Linked DNA regions of Caenorhabditis elegans. The protein of the gene in region 1 purifies or fractionates together with the protein of each later gene. This does not show direct contact. Each region holds a gene or a part of one and is shown on either strand. Other genes may lie near its edges.

The links. Proteins that work in one complex are often made in the same cells at the same time.
Region 2: the proteins of R160.10 (region 1) and acox-1.2 fractionate together in Caenorhabditis elegans (co-fractionation; one large-scale study listed by BioGRID). This does not show direct contact.
Region 3: the proteins of R160.10 (region 1) and etfb-1 fractionate together in Caenorhabditis elegans (co-fractionation; one large-scale study listed by BioGRID). This does not show direct contact.

What each region holds. Positions count from the first base shown.
Region 1 is NC_003284.9:4,364,551-4,370,455, forward strand, and holds R160.10 (uncharacterized protein), read right to left. Parts: upstream 2,965-5,905; 5' UTR 2,963-2,964; coding exon 2,886-2,962; intron 2,826-2,885; coding exon 2,618-2,825; 3' UTR 2,476-2,617; downstream 1-2,475. Other genes in the region: F14H12.8 (uncharacterized protein), read right to left, coding at 266-343; R160.3 (Leucine-rich repeat domain-containing protein), read right to left, coding at 1,000-1,219, 1,493-1,638, 1,688-1,768; R160.4 (DUF4845 domain-containing protein), read right to left, coding at 3,993-4,194, 4,245-4,300; R160.5 (uncharacterized protein), read right to left, coding at 5,482-5,608.
Region 2 is NC_003279.8:12,938,535-12,948,327, forward strand, and holds acox-1.2 (Acyl-coenzyme A oxidase acox-1.2), read left to right. Parts: upstream 1-3,745; 5' UTR 3,746-3,773; coding exon 3,774-3,884; intron 3,885-4,550; coding exon 4,551-4,741; intron 4,742-5,007; coding exon 5,008-5,682; intron 5,683-6,005; coding exon 6,006-6,270; intron 6,271-6,324; coding exon 6,325-6,657; intron 6,658-7,540; coding exon 7,541-7,816; intron 7,817-7,861; coding exon 7,862-7,996; 3' UTR 7,997-8,054; downstream 8,055-9,793. Other genes in the region: Acyl-coenzyme A oxidase acox-1.1, read left to right, coding at 28-144, 199-389, 769-1,443, 2,018-2,282, 2,330-2,680, 3,112-3,393, 3,443-3,586; Acyl-coenzyme A oxidase acox-1.3, read left to right, coding at 8,413-8,517, 8,780-8,973, 9,016-9,176, 9,571-9,793. UniProt on the Caenorhabditis elegans protein: Involved in the first step of peroxisomal beta-oxidation by catalyzing the desaturation of fatty acid-derived side chains of ascaroside pheromones, which regulates development and behavior.
Region 3 is NC_003279.8:2,416,722-2,424,045, forward strand, and holds etfb-1 (Electron transfer flavoprotein subunit beta), read right to left. Parts: upstream 3,633-7,324; 5' UTR 3,626-3,632; coding exon 3,578-3,625; intron 3,318-3,577; coding exon 2,850-3,317; intron 2,128-2,849; coding exon 1,876-2,127; 3' UTR 1,740-1,875; downstream 1-1,739. Other genes in the region: F23C8.13 (PDZ domain-containing protein), read left to right, coding at 461-853, 1,650-1,736; did-2 (Charged multivesicular body protein 1b), read right to left, coding at 4,241-4,717, 4,778-4,884, 4,943-4,976; F23C8.7 (Tyrosine-protein kinase), read right to left, coding at 5,684-5,878, 5,929-6,074, 6,122-6,500, 7,211-7,324.

The DNA of each region.
Region 1 (5,905 bases):
AATCTCTACAGTGAAAGGAAGATTAATATTTTAAACATACATAAGTTTCATGAGAACATACATAAGAACATAAAATTCGGAGGAATTTTTTCATTTTTGGTCGATAACTTCCAAAATGTAGCCAAACCTGACTGATTACCACTTTTTTGAAACAAATAAAAAGTTTCAAAAATTTTTTGAAAACTTTTACCACGATGTTCAGTCATTTTATCACCATAGAAGCGGTTTCTAACATTTTTTCCAACTGTTGCTACTATTACCTTACCGTAAAGAGGTCCTTATTCAAACAATTCGTCGGTAACGTCATCGCGTATAGCATGATCAATAAAATGAAGATTTTCATCACCTCCTGCTGACCATGAAATTGGGGTCGAATGCTCTAAATCTTCAGTGAGAAAAGGTTCTGTAAAAGTGCGCTGTTTTTAATGGAAACATTGATAGAAAATTTCCCCGAAATACGACAGATGTAGGAATGTAGTGGAAATAGTATATGAAGTTTCAGAAGAAAACAGTCAGATTGAAAACATCTGTTGTCACCGACCCTCGTGAGATTTGTTATCGTCAGACTCAAAAAATAATTCGCCCACCGAAAAGTGTTTTTGGTGTTAAATACAAGTAAGCTTTTAGACTTTGCTCATCGTAAAAACTATGAAACAGAAAAAAAGTCGGGGACTTCCAACGGAAAATTTGAGCGCAATGTTTATCTTCCTCGTGACATTCAAGGTTGCTGAAGAGAGAAATGTTCAGTTGAGATGGAATTCAAACGGTTTACTGAGAGGCTTTTATACTTTAAAATCAAAAATTTTTTGAAAATAAAATCATCAACTGGTTTGGTTTTCGAAGTGAGCAATCAAGACACCCATGTGTCAGAAAAGGCAGAGAGGGACAAAGGAGCACGTTTAGAAAACATTAGAAAAAAAAAAGGAAAACTTGAAAAATAACTACTAGAACAACGAAAAATACGGGAAACTTCAAACCAATACAAAAAAAACAAATAATTCAAATAATCATATCAAGGTCCACAGAGATGGTTTCACTTTTGATGCTTTCGTTGTCTTCCTTTCCGTATGCTTTTGCGTAGGCGTTTCTCGAACTGCACGGGTCAGCGAGGAAGTCCGAGAAGTAGTTCCTAAGACGGATGAGAAGCTTGCTTTCTTTCTTCATTCTACGGACCTCTTTGATAAGGCGGCTGGTGAAGAGGTACATCAGGATTGTCAATCTAAAAATTTAGAACTTTGAGTTTCAATATGTTGAACGGGGTTTGTAGGCGTAAGATTCTGGGTTGCCTAGTGAAGTTTCTAGTGAAGCACAAGTCTCAGTGTTTGGAGGAAACTTTCTTGTTGGCAGATAGTTGTAAGGTCAGCTTACACCGACAACAAATTATCAAACTGGGACAGAAAGTTTTCACAATTACACAGAAAGTTATCAAACGTCGGCAGGAAAAATTTGTAAAACACACTACTGGTATGCTCTAAAACAAAAAAAAACTTACACAATTCCGCAAAGCGATGCCCAGAAGAGAAATCCCGTTTCTTGCCACCAAGCGAAACAATCGTAAGTAGCACCAACTTCTTCGATAGACACATCCAACGTTGCAGTGTCTGTAGACTTTTCCGTAATGCTGCTGGTATTTCCGGCCTGAAAAAAAAATCAATTTTTAAATCTGATAAACATATTTGAAGTTTACCTCAATTTGGTCTGTTTTCACAAAGAGTCCACAATTAATCAACATCAGGATACATATGATCCCGGCAGTCGCTAACTTCATGATGAGCCTGAAACAAGAAAACAATTAAATCTATAGTGGAAGCAACACAATGTGATAATGAGAACTGGGAAATGGTACATGAGTCGAGAAGGAGGGACGAAGAAACTTATGTGCAGCGGATCTCTGTGTTTCTGTGCGCCTCTTTGACTGTATTCATCACTCCGTTTATTGCCCAGATATTCGTCACTCGCTGCTCATCACGGGGCAATGCACAGATTGAGTAGATGGAAGAAAATTGGCAGATGCTATATGCGCACAAAAAAATGTTGGAAAGGGAACATGAAAAAGTGGTGAAGAGGGCAAGGGGGATTGGAGGCGAAGAGCAAATACTGTGTAAAAAACACATCAAAAACATAAACCTCTATTCTTAATTGATTGAGAGACTTGCAAGTATGTACTGGCCGAGCCAATAATCTATGAGTGCATAGATTCAAACTCAGTAAACAATTACAATTTGAATTTGCATGAGTCGCTGCTCAGTGTGATACGGAGCCATTGAATTCTCTGAGCAGCGACGCTTTTAAAACAAAATAATTCGAGTTTGTTGATATATAGAGAATGTTTTTGTAATGTCTGGAAATAATTCTATAACTGGATACTACACAACAGTACGAAAAAAAGGGACACATGACAAAAACCTATTGATCTAATTTTCGTATATATTGCAAATTGGGGCTAAATGGAATCATTTTGAAATTGCCAATTTATTCAGTAATAACTTTATACATATAAAAATTAAACACAAACTTATGTTCTCTCTAGGTTTCAATGATAATTATGACAATTTATTGAAATGTGTGGTATGATTATGCGGGTTATAGCAATTGGGAAAATAATACAATAAGACACTTAAACGCGTGAATTGTTGATAGGAGCTCGTGACAGCAATGGTAGTCTTCCTGGTAATGGGTCGTTAGTTGTTCCAAGTGATGCTAGGGGTATAGACCCTTGAGCGTTCTCAGCGTCCTCATCTCCTTCCAGCTCTGGCCGGCAGCAACTTCCTCTCCGTCCACAGCAACCGTACTTTTGCATGATGTAGTCTACCAAAAAACCAATGCTGGAAATTCAAAAATGTTCATTTTGTTTTTTAAAAGACTCCTGAAAACTTTGTTCTCACCTGAGACACGAGAGGACAACAACCAAAAAAATGAGCATCGGCGGAACATGATATTTGATTGTTTGAGCTGTTTCCATCTGACAAATAATTCGGAATGTTGAACAAAAAATGAAACTTATAAATATGAGACAAGGATTAACAACCTTGTGGGATATAGTAATAGAAGATAAATCGGTAATAATTTAAATACGTTTATTGGTGTAAAAAAGTAATGGGCAATCGGTAGGGTGTATCAGGAAACATCTATGATTAGCAGTACAATTTCTGAAATTAATTCCCATTAAAAAATTTGAAAAAAATAGATGACAGCAACCTCTAAATGGTAGCTTCAACTCGGATGACTGTGGTTCGAGCAATGTGTTTATGCATGTTTTGAAACACCTCGGCAATGAAGTACCAAATTCTAAAATTTTGGATAAAATTGAATTATTTTTTGAAAGTGGAATAAGAAATTACATGACCACCGCCGAAGTCAAACCGATAACTATCAAAAATCCAATGGTCACTAAATTCTGGACGTCCATGGTAAAGTTTGAGTTGTATAAAAATGAGGTATCTGAATCTTGAAATGAGATGTGTGCGATATATTTTTCAATCGCCGATAATGAGAATTGAAATGTTTTATAAAAGCGTGTACATGTATGCATTTTAGACCAGAATTTTTACTCCTCACACAGAAAAAAAATGTCTGACGAAATAATTAACACATGAATTACGTCAAGGTTAAATTTTACAATCATAAATATGGTTTAAGAAAAGTTTAAGAATTCCAGTAATCCGAAATTTGGGCAATTTCAGCCAGTTCCAAAATTGCTCACTGCAGCAAATTCAAAAACCAGCAATTGCTCAACTTACCAATTACCGCACACCTCTGATCAAACCAAAATAATAGTTATGGTTTGGCAACCTAACAATACCAAAATATTAACCAAAACGGAAGGGCACGCTAAAATTTATCCACAAAAAAGTTATTCGAGAGCTACTAAAAAGAAATAGTCTATACTACTGTATTTCAATTTTATCGTTGTTACAAATTATGAATACATATGGTGCATGTTGATCGTCTGTAATAAAATTTTGAAAAAATTTACGAACATTTTTCTTACTTTAAATAGGAAGAAGTGGAACAGTGTCTATGATCACTTTGTTGGCAGCATATACTTCCAGCCCATGCATTTGCTCCAGTTGCTCCACGTCAAGAGATACAAATCCTTGTGGACGACTTGGCTCCTCTTCATCCTCAAATCTTTCGAAAAAACGGGGCTGTGGGAAGAACCATTCTCTGATGAGAGTTATGAATAGGATGATGCTATAATTTCCATAACTATTTAAAAATAATTTCAGATCATCGTCACTTACAAAAATATTGACCAAATTAGGAGCAAGATGAGATAGATGCATTTGATGATGTCCATGTTGAAACAAGTCATGCAGGTTTGCGAAATAGTAATTGAAACTAACAAAAAGTTAAGAAGGATAATTAATTAAATATACAGGTATACTTATTGGTTTCAACCAAAATCGATATGAAAAATTGTTCAGAAATTGACATATGTAACATCAACATTCATTAACAAAAAAAGGAGATCAATAATTAATCTGTGCAGTGCTAACAATGACAAATGTCTACAATAGTATTGCATTCAGACCTGAAAAATATATGCTCTCAGTTTTGAAAAAAATATATGTTTCCCCGAAATTTCCTGCCTTTCTACTTATTTTCTCACTGACAATGAACATGTTCAAAAATAAGGAAAAAATCCTTAATAAATTTTATAAAAGTTTAGAGAAACGACTTAAAAATACGAAGAAATTTAAAATAAAATTGCAAACTAATTCTTAAATCATTAACAAAAGTTTTGAAAGTTTTTTTTAGTACTGGCATTTTAAGTTTTAAAAATAATGAACCCAACTTTACTGTACTTTTGTCATTTACGATCCATTCTTTAAAATTTTAAGAGATTAATTTATGGATCCTTTTGATTGCAAATCAAAATGTATCTCGGCATACTCTTTAAAATTTTTTCAAACTTACTTCCCTACATTGCAATATAAACTTTGTTATACAAAAAGTTATAATTAGGAAATTAAAAGTTTTGTACGTTTGCAAAAGTATTTGCCGTACATCCCTACCGTACCCAAAAAAAAAATAATACTTACTTTTAATAATTTTGTCACAAGATTTCAAATCATTTTAATCATCTCCTCACAGAATTCATTTCTTTCATATGAGCGCTCCACAACAAAAACTCGTGACTGTATGCCTTCACGTTGTCGGGCTTTTTGTATTGACTTGATTGCAGTTCCCGCAAAACATACTGCCCATGCGACATCAGCAATATAGCACGCGCTGAAAAATTCAATTGTTCATTGCAAAACGTTGAATATTATTTAATTACACAATCACTCCCCAGACTAGAGCCAGGCAAACCAGCAGCAGAACAACGAGTGGCGGAATGGTGCTCTCAATGATAAAATAAATTCTGAAGTTTTTTTTTTGAGCTATTTGAACAATGAGCACAATTAATTACGTAATCTCTGGGTTTAAAACCACTTTTCAAATTTACAAATCACAATATAACACTTATTTTTATTGCTATGCATCATTCAAATTTTTCTCAGCTGTATAATAACTTTTAACAACATTGATTTTGTTCAATTCTTCTTTTTCGAGATTAGAGTGTGACGGTGAGCTCATTCTTGCTCCGAACACTGCACAGACTCTGAAAATTTATGTTGAACTGTGGAAGACCAGAATTGAAGCTTACAACGACATGCAAACGGCCAATGCAATCACAAATACCAAATAACTCAATGCAGCCAAAACACCAGGAAGAAGCATATTGTGTATATAATTGGAAGTTAATGTAAAATGAATAAACATTCAACAAGCATAAGAAAAAAAAAGATTTAACCGGAGTTCTACCGTTTTAAAAGTAACGAAATTACACAGAAAATTCTCACAAAATTGTTTTTTTCATTCATACAAATAAAACGTCTTGAACGCTGAAATTATATTA
Region 2 (9,793 bases), on another chromosome or scaffold:
AATTTTTAAAACTTTGTCAGTTTTAGTATGGTGCATCTCAACAAAACAATTCAGGAGGGTGATAACCCGGATCTCACTGCCGAACGCTTGACGGCAACATTTGATACTCATGCGATGGCTGCACAGATTTATGGGGGAGAAATGGTAAGCTATCTAGTCAAAATGGAATATTTGAATAACTGTCTCTAATGTTTCCAGCGCGCCCGTCGTCGTCGTGAGATCACCGCGAAGCTTGCAGAAATCCCAGAGCTCCATGACTCGATGCCACTTCCGTATATGACAAGAGAGGAGAAAATTATGGAAAGTGCTAGGAAACTGACGGTTTTGACACAAAGAATGTCAGAGATCATTGATCCAACTGATGCAGGCGAGTTGTATCATTTGAACAAGTAAGTGGACTTTTTTCTTGGACTAATACCCTTCGTTTGACAGGCTTAGGATTTTTCCTAAAATTACATGGAAAATTAATTTAGAAATCAGATTCAGCATATGAAATAGTTTTTGGTACAAAAATTTTATTATGATAACGTAAAAATAAGGAAAAGCAATTCTTTGGGATCTCATGAGATTTTTGAAAACATCGCCGAACTTTCATTTTTTTTTTACGTGCGAAACCATCCAGATTAAGGGCGATTCTAAAGAAGTTACGCTCACTGTACTTTAGTTTATCATATCAAAAATCAAAGTAGAATAATACAAAAATACAAGTTTAATAATGAAAGAGCTCTTCAAACTGAGCATTTTCCCAGAAAATCAATAATTTTCCAGCGAAGTTCTCGGAATCGAAGGAAATCCTATGGCTCTTCACGGTGTGATGTTCATTCCAGCCCTCAACGCTCAAGCTAGTGATGAGCAGCAAGCCAAGTGGCTCATTCGAGCGCTCCGACGAGAAATCATCGGAACCTACGCCCAAACTGAAATGGGTCATGGCACAAATCTTCAAAATCTGGAAACAACTGCTACTTATGACATTGGAACTCAGGAGTTTGTGCTTCACACTCCAAAGATCACCGCATTGAAGTGGTGGCCAGGGAATCTTGGAAAAAGCAGCAACTATGCAGTTGTAGTTGCACATATGTATATAAAGGGAAAGAACTTTGGACCACATACCTTCATGGTTCCATTGAGAGACGAGAAAACTCACAAACCACTTCCAGGGATTACAATTGGAGATATTGGACCAAAAATGGCTTATAATATTGTAGACAATGGATTCCTAGGCTTCAACAACTACCGTATCCCAAGAACGAATCTTTTGATGAGACATACCAAAGTAGAGGCTGACGGGACTTATATCAAACCACCACATGCAAAGATCAATTACTCTGCAATGGTACATGTGAGAAGTTATATGCTTACTGGACAGGCGATTATGTTGTCGTATGCGTTGAATATTGCAACAAGATACTCGGCAGTGAGAAGACAGGGGCAGATTGATAAAAAGTAAGTTGGAACTTTTATGAATAAGATCTGAAGAATACCAACTACTATTAGTAAAATAAAAAAGGGTTATAGGTTGAATTTCTTGGGTTGAGCTATCTCTAAATATATTTTTCATAACTAAAAAGCTTATTTCATGGCTTGAAAATAGATTCGTCTTTAGTAAGAATGATCATAACTATAACTATACATCAATACTTTTATGTGCATACCTATGTAGTACGTCTATTACCTTTATATATAGAAGTTCCGTAAATAACAGACTTCGCTGTGCCACTCACAACTTACATAACTTCTCAGTTTTGTTACTGTTACGAATTACGAACTACGATATGAATTACGCCTGTTAAACAATACAACGTAAATGTTACGAAAAATGTTACGTTTGATCAACAAAAAATGCGGGAATTTTCCCCCAGGAAAATGTGACGTCATCACGCAAAATCAGTTGAAAAATCTGCATCTCTTCTCCCGCATTTTTCGTAGAACAAACCAAAATGGGACACTTTGACACCACGTGCGAATTACGAGAAACTTAATTACTTGCAAACCCCATCCTCACTTATCCTCTTTCCAGTGAACCAGAGGTAAAAGTGCTCGAGTACCAAACCCAGCAGCACCGTCTCTTCCCATTCATCGCCCGTGCCTACGCTTTCCAGTTTGCTGGTGCCGAGACCGTGAAGCTTTACGAACGAGTACTCAAGGAGATGAAATCTGGAAATGTGTCTCTTATGGCTGACTTACATGCATTGACTTCTGGTTTAAAATCAGTTGTTACTCATCAAACTGGAGAAGGTATCGAACAAGCGAGAATGGCTTGTGGTGGGCATGGATATTCTATGGTAGGAATGTTATAATTGAAATTGCAAATTCTAAAGGAATGTTTCAGGCTAGTTACATCTCTGAAATCTACGGAGTTGCAATTGGAGGATGCACGTATGAAGGAGAAAATATGGTTATGCTTCTTCAACTCGCTCGTTACCTCGTCAAATCCGCTGCCCTTGTGAAGTCCGGAAAAGCTTCTCAGCTTGGACCACTGGTAGCCTACTTGGGCGCCAGAAGTGAGCCAACTAGCCTGATAGATAGAGTTCCAAATGGTGGAATCACGGAATACATCAAGACATTCCAACATATCGCAAAGAGACAGACGTTGAAGGCTGCCAACAAGTTCTTCGGATTAATGGAGAATGGAGAAAAGAGAGAAATCGCCTGGAACAAGTCATCCGTGGAGTTGAATAGGGTATGTTTGACTTATGCTTGTGATTTTTGAGAATACGAGTGATGGTACATTGTGGCCTTGATGTCCATTTGCCCATTTCCTTGCAGAAAATGCAAAACCTGCAAAACTTTAGATGCACTTTTGAGCTTGTTTATCAATATTTGTCAACAATCATTGAATTCTTATCAGTTGTCCCTGCAACCTTACTAGGAAAATTAGTTCAAACACCAAAATGTTGGAAAAGTGCATTTGCTATGTAGCAAAAACTGGTGAAATCTGGTAGAATTTTGTAAATCCGAAACCTTTTTTGGGCTCTATATTAGGGTGCATACTAGATACCAGAGCCGTATTTAAAGTTAAAGATGACTAAAGATTCTGAACACACTAGCTTAAGACATTGTAACAAAAGCGACACTCTTAAAATTAAAAGTCCGAAAAGTATATATTTCTAGGCGAGTCGCCTCCACACCCGCCTCTTCATCGTCGAAGCCTTTGCCAGACGAGTCAACGAAATCGGAGATATCACCATCAAAGAGGCTCTCAGCGATCTCCTCCATCTTCACGTCAACTATGAACTTTTGGATGTTGCCACGTATGCACTGGAAGATGGATTCATGTCATCCACTCAGTTGGATTATGTCAGAGATCAATTGTACTTCTATCTCCAGAAAATTCGACCAAACGCAGTTTCATTGCTAGATTCCTGGGAGTTTAGTGATAGAGAGCTGAGATCTGTAAGTTCCAAAGCTAATGGGTTCTAAAATTAAATAACTGAAATTTCAGGTCCTAGGCCGCCGTGATGGTCATGTCTACGAGAACCTTTTCAAGTGGGCAAAGGAAAGTCCGTTGAACAAGACAGATGTTCTTCCGTCAGTGGATACATATTTGAAGCCAATGATGGAAAAAGCCAGGCAGAGCAAGCTATAATTCTAATTTATATTTTTGATTTTTTTTTCTCTTGCATACTCTTTGCTTATACTGTTAAATATTTGAAAATGCAAACATTGCACTTATAAATAGTACAGGCCAATAATCACAACTCCGCCCATCACTCCTTTTATACCCTTTCCATCAGTTCATCCATCCATTCTTCTTTTTTGTTGATATCAGTAACATGGCGAACCGATCAATTCGTGATGGAGATAACCCCGAATTGCTGGAAGAACGGAGGATGGCAACTTTTGATACGGATAAGATGGCAGCGGTGATCTATGGAAGTGAAGAGGTAAGGACTGCAAACTACAAACTATTGATTACAAGCTTTATTAGGCTAATAGAAAATCAGATTATACATAATTTTAGTATGAATCAAGAGTTATCAAAGCTGAAATTTTATAATGTTTTAAAGCACAATGGAATGTATACATACATGTTCTTGAAAAATATTGTATACCTTAAGTGGAGACCATGTATGTTTCGCACCGTATAACTTAATCAGTTAGAACGACATGTTCCACCACGTGGCATTGAACAATAAAATCCCTGTAATTCCACAAAAATCAATTTTCGTCGTTTTCCCTTTGTCGGAAAAATTTTTTTTATTAGGTAAGATTAGATAGCCACTATTTTTTCTGAGAGATAGAGACCATAAAACGAAATACATATTCTGTCAATCAGCAGGAAAGTGCAAAAGTCAATGTTTCTAGTAGTGTGTAAAGGTTTCAGCAAACCATGAACATACATATGTATCAAGATTTTGGACAGTAAAGAAACAGGGAAATGAACTATCATAGTTTATGAGGGAAATTATCCCCGTCGATGCACCATGTTTCGAATGATTCAAACTTTGGTGCCTCACTTTGGTTGATTGCATTTTTTTTTGAAATAATTAATTGTCAACTTATTAAATGAAAAAAAAACTGTCTTAATACATAGAAAATTATTTGTTCAGTTCGCTCGTCGCCGTCGTGAGATCACCGACGCCGTGTCCAAGATCCCTGAGCTCGCCGACATCAAGCCCTATCCATTTTTGACTCGAGAGGAGAAGGTGACCGAGGGCACCAGAAAAATATCGATTTTGACAAAATATCTGAATCAGCTGATTGATAGAGATAATGAAGAAGAAAGTTTGCACCTGCATCGGTAAGGATTTTCTTTTCAAATTCAGTGTGATTTGGTAGATCTCACTTAATTGTCTCATACGTCGGTTTTATTTAGGTTTATAGAAAATTTGTTAACTGGTACAGTATTGTTTATCTGCTTGCTTGCAACTTTGTTCTGAAGTATATGCTAGCGCCTACCGATTTCCGTCAAGAGCTTCCATGAAAAATTTTGAAAAAATAAACCTCAAATGTTTGCCACTTTTCCTTTAAACTTTTCTCACAATCAGGTAAATTCCCACTTTCCAGAGAAGTGATTGGCTACGAGGGTCATCCCTTCGCTCTCCATGACGCTTTGTTTATTCCAACCCTTCAGTCACAGGCTAGTGATGAACAGCAGGAGAAATGGCTCGAGAGAGCTCGGCGACGAGAGATCATTGGATGTTATGCGCAAACTGAGCTCGGTCACGGCTCAAATCTTAGGAATCTTGAAACAACTGCAGTCTATGACATTGCTTCCCAGGAGTTTGTACTACATACTCCTACGACAACGGCGTTGAAGTGGTGGCCTGGAGCACTTGGGAAGAGCTGTAACTATGCATTGGTTGTAGCTGAACTGATTATAAAGAGAAATAACTATGGCCCCCACTTTTTTATGGTGCAGCTGAGAGATGAAAAAACCCATATTCCACTAAAAGGCGTTACCGTAGGAGATATCGGGCCTAAAATGAACTTCAATGCGGCGGATAATGGGTACCTTGGGTTGAACAACTTGAGAGTTCCACGAACAAATCTTTTGATGAGACATTGCAAAGTAGAGGCGGATGGGACGTATGTGAAGCCACCGCATGCAAAGATCGGGTACTCTGGAATGGTGAAGATCAGAAGTCAGATGGCTATGGAGCAGGGGTTGTTTTTAGCACATGCATTGACAATTGCAGCGAGGTATTCGGCAGTGAGGAGGCAAGGACATTTGGATGATAAGTGAGTTGAACAGTGGTTTTTATTGGACATAAAGTACCACAACTATTCAAATGTTATTTGCTCTATCTAGGAAACGTTTTTTGTCTTCAGATTTATCTTTAACCTACAGGGATCTCTGGAAAATTTGGAGCAAGTTGTGTAATTTTGTAAAAAATTAAAATTGCAATGGTCACTGTCAAAAGGTAGCATAGCATGTAAACGTATTCACCTTTTTTTTCAGATTTTTTCGACAACCAAAAATTCTGAATTCACTTTGAAATTTGAACTAAAATCCGATGCCCAATTAATCGTTAACCTTCAATTCTACCACCCAGAAATTCCAGGCAAGTCGAAGTAAAAGTCCTTGACTACCAGACCCAGCAGCATCGTCTATTCCCATCATTAGCCCGTGCGTATGCATTTATATTCACTGGATTTGAGACAATTCACTTATATTCTCAATTATTAAAAGATGTTGATATGGGTAATACATCTGGAATGGCTGATTTACATGCATTGACTTCTGGTTTAAAATCAGTTGTTGCTCATGAAACTGGAGAAGGTATTGAACAGGCGAGGATGGCTTGTGGTGGACATGGATACTCTATGGTAGGTTTTGAAAATCAAGTAAAAAAGAAAAAGCATTTTATGGAGTTGTTTCAGGCTAGTTATATATCTGTCGTATATGGGATTGCTATTGGCGGATGCACTTATGAAGGGGAGAACATGGTGATGCTCCTGCAACTTGCACGGTATTTAGTGAAATCCGTGGAACTTATCAAGGCCGGTAAAGCTAAGAAATTAGGACCAGTGGCATCATATCTAGCAGACAAGAGTGATGAAACTGATCTAACCAGCCTGAATGGATATGTAAAGATGTTCGAGAACATGGCTAGAAGGCAGGCTTGGAAAGCAACAGAGAAATTCTTGAAATTGATGGAAAGTGGGGAATCAAGAGAAGTGGCATGGAATAAATCAGCAGTGGAGTTGACTAGAGTAAGTTTATCTACAACATTTACCACTATTGAGTTCCAAAAGCTCTGATGTGGTTTTTTTCGTGGTTCAAAAATATACAATAGAAATCTAGATCCAAACTATGTCGTTCAGTTGTTTGCCCAATTTTCGAAGATACACAAAGAAAGGCCTGTAGACATATCATTATTATTATAAGTTATTAAAACTAAAAAATATCCCAATAAAAAAATGCGGTAATTTATATGCCAAGGTCAGTTTTTTTGATTGAACTGGAAGCTTCTGGACCCTAGAAAATTTTTGTAATTAAATTCTGAAAGCCCTTAAAATTTGAAACAAGTCCCCGAAGAAACATTTTCAAAAAAGTTCATTTTAAGGCAATTTTTAAAGTTATGAAAACTACATAAATTCTCCCAAAAAAAATGCGCCTAAAATTTGAAAAAAATCTGGAAAGTGCTAAAATTTTCTGAAAAGATCTGGAAAAGTCTAGAATTTTTTAAAATAAAAGTTGGAAAGTTTTAGAATTTTCTTGAAAGTCCGCAAAACTTCAGGAAATTGTGTAACTGTACAAAAATGTTACATGAGCAATTTAAAATTTATTAGAACAATTTAGCGTTCGCCAGTACGCAAATTGTGCATGCGAACGACTGGTTGTATATAATTTGTATTGCTACTAGGAAATAATATCTGGCAAGCATAGTTATGTAAATTAAAACACACAGTTAACAAAAGTGCAACAGATAGTAACCACCTTATCATTTAAATGCAACCTTCATTGGTTTGAAGAAATGTTTTGGTTTTTGAACCAAATTCTTAAAAAGGGTGTGCAAATACTGATACTTTAAAAAAAATTAGAATGTTGCAATGTATACCCAGAAATATCAATTTTTACACCCAGCAATTTCAGGCTAGCCGTCTACACACCCGTCTATTCATAATCGAAGCTTTTATGAGAAGAGTGTCTCGAATTGAAGATATTCCAGTGAAAGAGGTTCTAACAGATCTTCTCCATCTTCATGTCAACTATGAACTATTGGATGTTGCCACGTATGCACTGGAATTCATGTCATTCACTCAGTTGGATTATGTTAGAGATCAACTATATTTGTATCTGGAGAAGATTCGACCAAATGCAGTATCTCTAGTTGACTCTTTTCAGATTAGTGATATGCAATTGAGATCTGTAAGTATTTTGGGACAATGTAGTTATGAAACACAGAGGTTTTAGGTCCTTGGCCGCCGGGATGGTCACGTCTACGAGAATCTCTTCAAATGGGCAAAGTCAAGTCCCTTGAACAACGCAGATGTTCTACCGTCAGTCGAGAAGTACTTAAAGCCTATGATGGAAAAGGCGAAGCTTTAACTTTTTAATTTTTCTTATATTACTTTTAAAAAATAAATACGTCAACAGACTAAAGAGAGCAACAAATACAAACTATTCAAAATCATCACAGACCAACTGATGTATACATATGTGATAAGAAATTGATAAATATTGGCAACATTTTTCAGAATGCAAACAATTATTGTTGCACTTTAATAATGATGATTTTTTTTCTTAAATTACACTTTTTACAATTTTTTGTATATAACAGTTAGTTAATTGGTTCTTACAGTCCTCATTGAGGATTTTATGGCATTGTTCTAGTTCTACCTGAATTTGGAAAATTTTTCAAATATTCTATCTCATATGTTGTGTTATAAAATCAAATATTATAAAAACGAAACTCCTGCAAATGTAATGTATTCCTTTAAGTTTTCCGATTTTCAGACTGTACAATGAGCTCAATTTGCAAAGGAGATAACTCAGATCTCACAGAAGAACGAAAGAATGCGACTTTTGATACGGATAAGATGGCTGCCGTGATATATGGACGTGAAGAGGTAAGGGGGGCAAATAGACTACAAATTACAGGCAGCAAAAGGCCAAATGGCGTATGAAAATGCCGTAGACGGTTCGATGGTGAACAACTGAGGCCCGCGGTTAGTCCGTCCCCGGCAGAAAGTGCATCCATTCAACTGCCTGATTTTTGGTCGTCCAGGCTTTAAAATTTTAGTTTTTGGGAAAATTTACTTTTTTTTTGTCACTCTACCGGCCTGAAATATGCTTTAAAATTCAGCTTAGAATCTCCGTTGGCTTTTCCAGATTGCTAGTCGCCGTCGACAACTCACTGAATCCATCTCCCGGATCCATGAGCTTGCAGAATCCAAACCCCTAGTTTTCATGACACGAGAGGAAAAAATCGCTGAGTCCTGTAGAAAGCTGGAGGTTTTGAGTCGACACTGGAATCAGACCCCGTTCAACAGAGACAACGAAGAAGATGCACTGCACATCTACAGGTATTAGTTGGAGCAAACTTGCAACTAATGATCACTTTTCAGAGAGGTATTGGGGATGGAGGGACATCCGTTGGCGCTTCACGATACAATGTTCATACCGACTTTGGTTGCACAGGCGAGCCAAGAGCAGCAGGAGAAGTGGTTGGGGAGAGCTAGAAGGAAGGAGATTATTGGATGTTATGCACAGACCGAGATGGGTCATGGTGAGTATTGGGGTTATTTACTTGTATGCCGTATCGTTACAGTAATCTTGTCCATACTTGAAATAGTAGGAAGTCACAATTTGTTGAGATACTACATCTCGAGAGATGCTAGTAGGTTACAAATTTATAGCTAAAACTATCGATATTTGGGAAGAGCTCACCCTTCTTTGACCAACTTTTAGAGCAAGACCGTCTAGAAGGCTTGATGAAGTCTGAAGCTTGAAGCTTTGAAGCTTGAAGTCTGATCCAGAAACTTATCCAAAATATGACTCAATCTTCGACCAAGATTCGAAAATGTTCTGCTCACTCTTAGAATTTTTAATTATTAGCGCTCAGTCGTAGGTCAAAGAATGAACCGCCATGTTCAGAAATAACAATAAAATGTAGGTTTTAGGTACCAATCTCCGAAAACTTGAAACCACAGCCACCTACTCCCCGGACACCCAGGAATTCATCCTGAACACCCCAACCATCACAGCTCTCAAATGGTGGCCCGGAGCACTCGGGAAGAGTTCCAACAACGCTATAGTAGTTGCTAATTTGCTTATCAAAGACCAAAACTATGGACCACATCCTTTCATGGTTCAACTGAGAGATGAGAAGACTCATATTCCACT
Region 3 (7,324 bases), on another chromosome or scaffold:
AATCTATTTAAAAAATTCCATAGCAGCGAAAGTTCGAAATTACAGTACCCTTTAAAGGCGCTCACCCGTTTATATTTAACAAAAAATTTTAAAATCGAATTCAGTAATTTTTTAATTAAAAAAATCGATTTTTAACGAAACACTATGAGAAATCAAAAAAAATCCCACAAAACTTTGAAGCTACAGTACTCTTTAAAGGCGCACAATAGGGGAAAAATTATTATACACATATGTGCATAATCGCGGCAAGACCCAAGAAAAAAGAAGAAGAAAAAGCCAATTTAGTGAGCACTTGAATGAGTAATAGGGCTCGCTCAAGTCCGATGAGCCGCGGGTACACATAATTGGATGGCCGCTACTTTTTCTTTTCTTTTTTTCTTGAGCTCAACATGCTTAGCTGCACTCATAATTCAGTTAGGGGTCACTTTTTTTTTCGAAAAAAATTCTAAAAAACTTCCAGAGCACACATCTTCGAGAAGGCGATCGTCTACTCCGGTGCAACAAGATCTCACTTCGCGCCGTTTCCGTAGATCAGGCGGCGAGCATCTTCCGATTCTGGATGTCCCGCTCCGATTCGCTGACTCTGTTGATCGAACGAAGATCCGACGGTGAGAGTGTGATGATGCGGCGTCGGCGGCAGGCGAGGCTCTCAATGTGCAATGAGCAGCGGGAGCAGACACGACACGTCGTTTCAGGGCGAGCCACGTTACGGATGACGTCATCAAGGTCGGCAGAGGTATTCCGGTGTGGGGACTCGACGTCGTTCCGCATGAAATCTCCGAAATACGAGTCATTCAACACATCATCGCCCTCAAAATCCATATGTCCCCAGTGCAATTCTCAGACTAGAATGGTAAGTTTTTCTTTTTTTTTTTCATTCCAAAAATTCCAATATTACGGGAACTTAAAAATTCTTAGAATGCGTATTTCGCAACATATTTGACGTGCAAAATATGAAAATATCTCGTAACGAAAACTACAGTAATTCTTTGAATGACTACTGTAGCACTTGTGTCGATTTACGAAAATGATTTTTTGTTTGAAAAACGAAGAAAAATTGAATATCTTTGTCACTATTCGAAATGAAATTCATTTCAATATTCGAGCCCGTAAATCGGCCTACAGTAGTCATTTAAAGAATTACTGTAGTTTTCGCTACGAGATATTTTCATATTTTGCGCGTCAAATATGCTGCGCTGTACGCATTCTCAGAATGTGTGAGTTTCCGTAATACTATAAAGTGCAATTGCGCTCCACGGACAAATCTCCACCCCAAACCGTTGGGTCTCGTTAGGAATTGGCGGGAAAACCGTTTTTGCCAATTTTCCAGCATTTTTCGCTGTTTTCAATGAGTTTTTTTTTGTCAAAATTGAAAAAGTTAATGTCATAATCATTTTTAACCATAATTTCGGCATAAAAACATAAAAAATAACGAAAAATGCTTGAAAACGGGTAAAATCGTCGGAAGTAATCGTTATTTCGACCTAAAACTTATAAAAAATATGAAAAAAAGCTTAAAAATTGGCAAGAATAATGTAAAACATTTGAATTTCCCGTCTTGCCGCCAAATATTTACCTAACGAGACCCATCGTTTAGGGGCGGGGCGCGTAATTTTTCGCGCCCAGATAATAATCCGTAATATTTCCAGATCTACCTACACCAATTCTCCCATGGTTTTGTGAACAATGCATTCCGTTTTTTGATCGTTTCCCGTTCAAGCTATTCACTTTTATGAACAAAAATAATTTTTCATACTTTTTTAAACCTGCATCACATAAAACATTGAATAGAAAAAATAATAAAAATAATTTAAATACAAAATTTTCTGATTCGACTACTACAATAATTCAGCGGCGGAAGAGGTTATCGGGGGCTTAAGCCTTGACGAATCCCTTCTCCTTGAGCTTGGCGACAAGTGCCGAGACATCGTCGACGAATCCTCCGGCCTGGCGAACTGGTGGCTCGGTGACTTCAAGAGTTTCAGTTTGTGGTGTGATATCTACATTCAGATCTTTGATTGGAATGTTCTTCAGTGGCTTCTTCTTGGCCTTCATGATGTTTGGAAGAGTCGCGTAGCGGGGCTCGTTGAGGCGAAGATCGGCGGATAGGACGAATGGCACTTTGACCTGGAAAATAGAAAATTTTTCGAATAAAACTTTAGATCCGTGAATTTTGCAAACAAAATAGCGGCGCGCAGAAATAGGGGCGGGGCGTTATTTTGCAACCTTGCGGCACGGTTTTTCCTCCTTTTTTCGCTTTTTCAATTTTTCATGTTTTAATCTCCTTTTTTTTCGAATAAGAACGTTATTTAATTAACTATCAAAATTTATTAATCGATCCTTGAATTTTGCAAGAAATTTTGTCGCCCAGAAAGTGGGGCGGGGCATAGCTTTTGCAACACTGCCGCACGGGGTTTGCCTCCGCCCCTTTTCTACTGCTTTTAAGCTTTTCTTGTTGATTTTTTCAATAATTTCTTTTTTTTTCGAATGAAAATCCAATTCGAAAAAAAAGAGAAAAATCGAAACTTTATTGAAAAAATCAACAAAAAAAGCAGTGGAAAAGGGGCGGAGACAAACCCCGTGCGGCAGTGTTGCGTAAGCTACGCTCCGCCCCACTTTCTGTGCGACAAATTTTTGCAAAATTTAAGGATCGATTAATAAATTTTGATTTTAAATTAAATAACGTTCTCATTCGAAAAAAGAGATTAAAACATGAAAAATTGAAAAAATCAAACAAAAAACAAGCGGAAAAAGGAAAAACCGTGCCGCAGGGTTGCAATATCAAGCCCCGTCTCGCGTTCTGTGCGGGGCTGCTTTTCACGGCTATCGATCGATATAGTAAGAATCACCTTAATCGTGTCAAGACCTCCATCAATTTCACGGGTGACCTTCATGTGTCCAGCGCCTGCGTCTTCAACCTTCGACGCGTAGAGAGCCTGTGGCCACTCGAGCAGGCCAGCGAGAATCGGAGCAGTTTGCGACGAATCATCATCGATTGCCTGCTTTCCGAGAAAAACCGCGTCGAACTTCTCCTGCTCGACAATCTTCTGAAGCGCCTTCGCCACGTGGAATGACTCGAGCTTGCCAGCTTCGGCGTCGGTCACCTGAACGTGAACTGCCTTGTCGGCGCCCTTCGCCAACGCGGTCCGGAGCACTTCGGCGGATTTTGGTCCGCCGAGCGAGAACGCGACGACTTCGGTGGCGAGCTTCTTCTCCTTGAGCTTGACGGCCTCCTCTAAAGCGATCTCGTCGAATGGATTCATGCTGTGTTGAACTCCTTCGGTGACGACTCCCGAGCGGTCCGGCTTGACACGGATCTGGAAATTTTGGGCTTTTATAGAATCGAAATGTGTCTAAAATCTCCAATTTATCCAAGTTTTCCGTGTCACAGCGGTTGGAAATCAGCTTTTATTGCCAATTTTAATCGATTTTCCGTTGATTGGGGTACACTTTGAGCCAAAAATGACAAAAAACTGATTTCCAACTGCTGCGACACGGAAAAGTTGGTGAAATTCAAGATTTTCGCCGAAATTAAGCTGTTTTTTCGAATTTTTTGCTCTTTTTCCTGAAATCCTACCTTGACAGCATAGTCGACAACTCTCTTGACTCCGACGAGAATCTTCATCGCTTGGCTGGAAGAAAAACTGGGAATAAATTTATTTATTTATTAATAAATGAAGAAATGATCGAAAAAAACAGCGGCGGCGGGGTCAAAGTACACACTTCAGAGTTCAGAATTTGATTTTTAAATTTGAATCAATTAATTAAAGCCGAAATTCGAAATTTTAGCCGAAAAATGTTTAAAATAGCTTTAAAACTGCCACGTTTTTCCTTAAAAACCTTCGAAAATTCCGTTTTTTATAGAAAATTCGTGAAAAATAAGAATAAAAATAATAAAACAAGTGATGAGAGAGATAAGACGATGTGGAGAGAGAGTGTGGGAAGACGAGAGACGCAGAGAATGAAACGCGGGCGGTGATTGTTGTGGCCTACACGTAAGCGACCGATTTGTAGAAAAAATGTTCTGAAAAATAAAAGAATAAATATTTCGAAGAAGACATGAGCTGAACTTCGTAGATCTAGATAGATTAGATAAAACAAAAAAAAAGCAGAAAAATTGTTGCTTCATTATTGAGAGAAATGTTGTATATACAAGAAAAAAAGCAGTATCTTAATTTTAAAAATGAAACCGTCAGCAGAATATTCATATTCACAGAAATTTCTTGAGAAATCTGGAAGATCACATGTTGCGAAGAGCAGCCAGGCGTTCTGTGAGGTCCTTGTCTTCTGAAACAGCTTGCGTCCCGGTCGGCAGAGCAGTTGGCACGTTTGACGGAAGCTCCTGGTTGAGCTCGATGCCTGCCTTGTCGGCGGCCTCTGCAATCAGAGCATCCACCTGTGACTTCGGAGCATTCAACACTGTCGTTCCGTCCATCGTCTTTTCCATCGTCTTTGTGGTCACGTCGAGATCTTCGAAATCTCTTTCGAATCTATCCATCAACTGTTGAACTTTCTCGAGATTCATGCTCTTCATGGCGCTTTCCATGGCTTTCACTACGCCGCTCATGCTGGCGGTTACTCGTTTTTGTGTGGCGGCGGTTTGAACTCGGGCGGCCACTGCGTCGATTCTGGCGGCCATTTTAATGTAGTTCACTGCTTCATTCTTCTTCCTGATCGCATTTTCAGCATGAACCTGTGCGACTTCTTTGTTTCCTTTCTGGAAAAAATCGAATTTAAAAAATAATTGTTTTTTTTTTCATTTTTAATTATTTTTTACCTTAATAGCTGCCGTCAGCTTGTCTTTCTCGACCTTTTCATCCTTCTCGCATCGTTGAGCATTCTTTTCCAACTGTTTCGCTGCGAATTTAAGATCAAATAAGTGTTCTGGAAGATAAAAACATGAAAATAAGTCAAAATCAAGAGAAATCAATTTGAAACTCACTTTCCAAGGCCATACTGCTTTCTCCGGCTCCCATGATGATTTTATGTGTATTAAGCTGGTATTTGAGTTTCTGAAATACGAGAATTACGGTGAGAAAGTGCTTTTATAAGTTAAATTTCGCAAGAAAGCGATAAAAACAAATTCATGAGTCATGTGTGTGTATCTGCGGACTTTACGTCATAAACGACGACACTTGATGTCCGCAAGCAGCGGATCTTACGACAATTTTGGGTTGTAGAAATTTCTGTATTTTAAGTCGGTTTCAGGCTATAAAACACAAAATTATCAACGTCAAAAATATTTCCAGATCCGCTATATGAATTTGAAAAAATTAACATCGTAATTTCACCGATAGATAAAATCGCACAAAAATAAACTACCATAAACTTTTTTGCGTGCCAAGACCAATCTGAATAAATCTGTGCGCCTTTCTTTGAAAATTACTGTAATTATCGACTTTTCGTAGTTTTTTTGTAAAAAAAATTGAATTTATTCATCAATAAACTAACAAAAAACAGTATATGTTTTAACAAATCAAAAGAAATAAAAAAATTGAAGAAAATACCGCAATTTTTAAATTACAGTACTCTTTAAAGGCGCACACCTTCACGCATTTAACAAACAATTGTCGTTTCGAGACCAGGTACCGTATTCTTCTCTCGAATTCTCAGGGTAATAAAACAATTTTATTAACATCTCAAGTCAAAACTATCAAAACTTTATTTCCGAACAAATCAAAGATCACTTCGGCTTCTTCTTGTTGTTTCTCTTCACCGAGAACATTGGCGGCTTCATCGTCTTCATCTCCTCCTCGGTCGAGCGATTGCTCGATAGAATCGATAGAACCACTGGCTTCATCCCAAAAGTTGTCTGAAGATAGCGCAGAACATCCGCCATGCTCACACGATCCGCCGGATTTTCAGCCCAGCAGTGCTTCTGAAAAATGAGAAATTAGTAATTAGCTATAATTTCAGATTCAAACCAACCGTGACATAGTCGCCGAATCTGAAGTCCACAAAGACCGGATCAAACCGCATGCGGTATCCATTACGGACCTTTCCGACGACGTCAGCAACTCTCATGTCTGGGTACGGCTCCTTCCCATTCTCAGTGATCTCCCAAGCCATTATTCCTGAAAAAATGTCTATTTTATTTGAAAATGTTATTGGAAAGACTAACCGAACGCAAACACATCAGTCTTCGGACTATAAATCCCCGCTTTCAACGTCTCCGGAGCCAACCAACGAATCGGAACCTTCTTCGTCAGGTCCATGACATACGAGATTCCCTCACGGGATAACCCAAAATCCGCAATCTTGACCTGACCACCTCCATACAGGCAATTTCTCGCCGCAATGTCTCGATGTAGAAGTTTCTTCTCGTGCATATACGAGATTCCACACGCTGCTTGGTAGATCATCTCCATCTTCTTGTCGGGCACCAAATTCGGATTCTTCTGAAGGTACGAGTCCAGGGCTCCACAATCCGCCAACTCCATGATGACGTACAGCGGCTCCTGGCTTGCACCAACTCCGTAGAATTTAACGACATTTGGATGCTGCAAAAAAATTAAATTTTTGGGCGAAATCGAAATTTAAAAGGAGTTTTCGAGTTTTTCAGAAAAAATAACTCAAAATTTCTTCTATTTTTCAATTTTTCACAAGATTTCAGTGAGAAATCATTGCGTTTTCATGTAACCTGGGTCCCACCACGACTGTAAAATTTTTCTCAGTTACCGTACTCGCGAGTACGCACGCTTCTGGCTTCCCTTGAAATGGAAGAGTTTTTGCCGAACTAGGCCATTTTGGCTCGACCATATCTGGGGTAGATTTACGGCGCGTTGCGTGTCGCGTCGCGGCTCGGTTTTAGTTGTAAAACTAAATGTATTTGTCCGTGTAGAGTACACGACTTTTCCACGCGTTATCCGGCGGGCGATTGTCAATGGAGCGCGAAAAATTCAATGAGGAAGGCTAGAACCCCGTGTAGTTTTACAACTGAAATCGAGCCGCGACGCGACACGCAACGCGCCGTAAATCTACCCTAGACATGGCCGAGCCAAAATGGCCTAGTTCGGCAAAAACTTCCATTTAATTTGATGAGGGAAGCCAGAAATCCGTGCTCGGTCCCGTCACGCCTATGAAATTTTTCTCAGCTACCGTACTCGCGAATACGGGTACTGTAGCTGTGAAAGTTTCAGTCGTGTCGGGACCCAAAAGTCACGTTTTTCATAGATTTTCAGAGAATTTTCCCTGAAAAATATCAACTTACATCGAGATTTCTCATGAGCCGGGCTTCTCGCATAATTTCCTTGATTTGCTCCTTGTTCAGTGACTCCAGTTTGGCGGTTTTGATGGCACAATTCTCGACATTTCCATTCTTCAA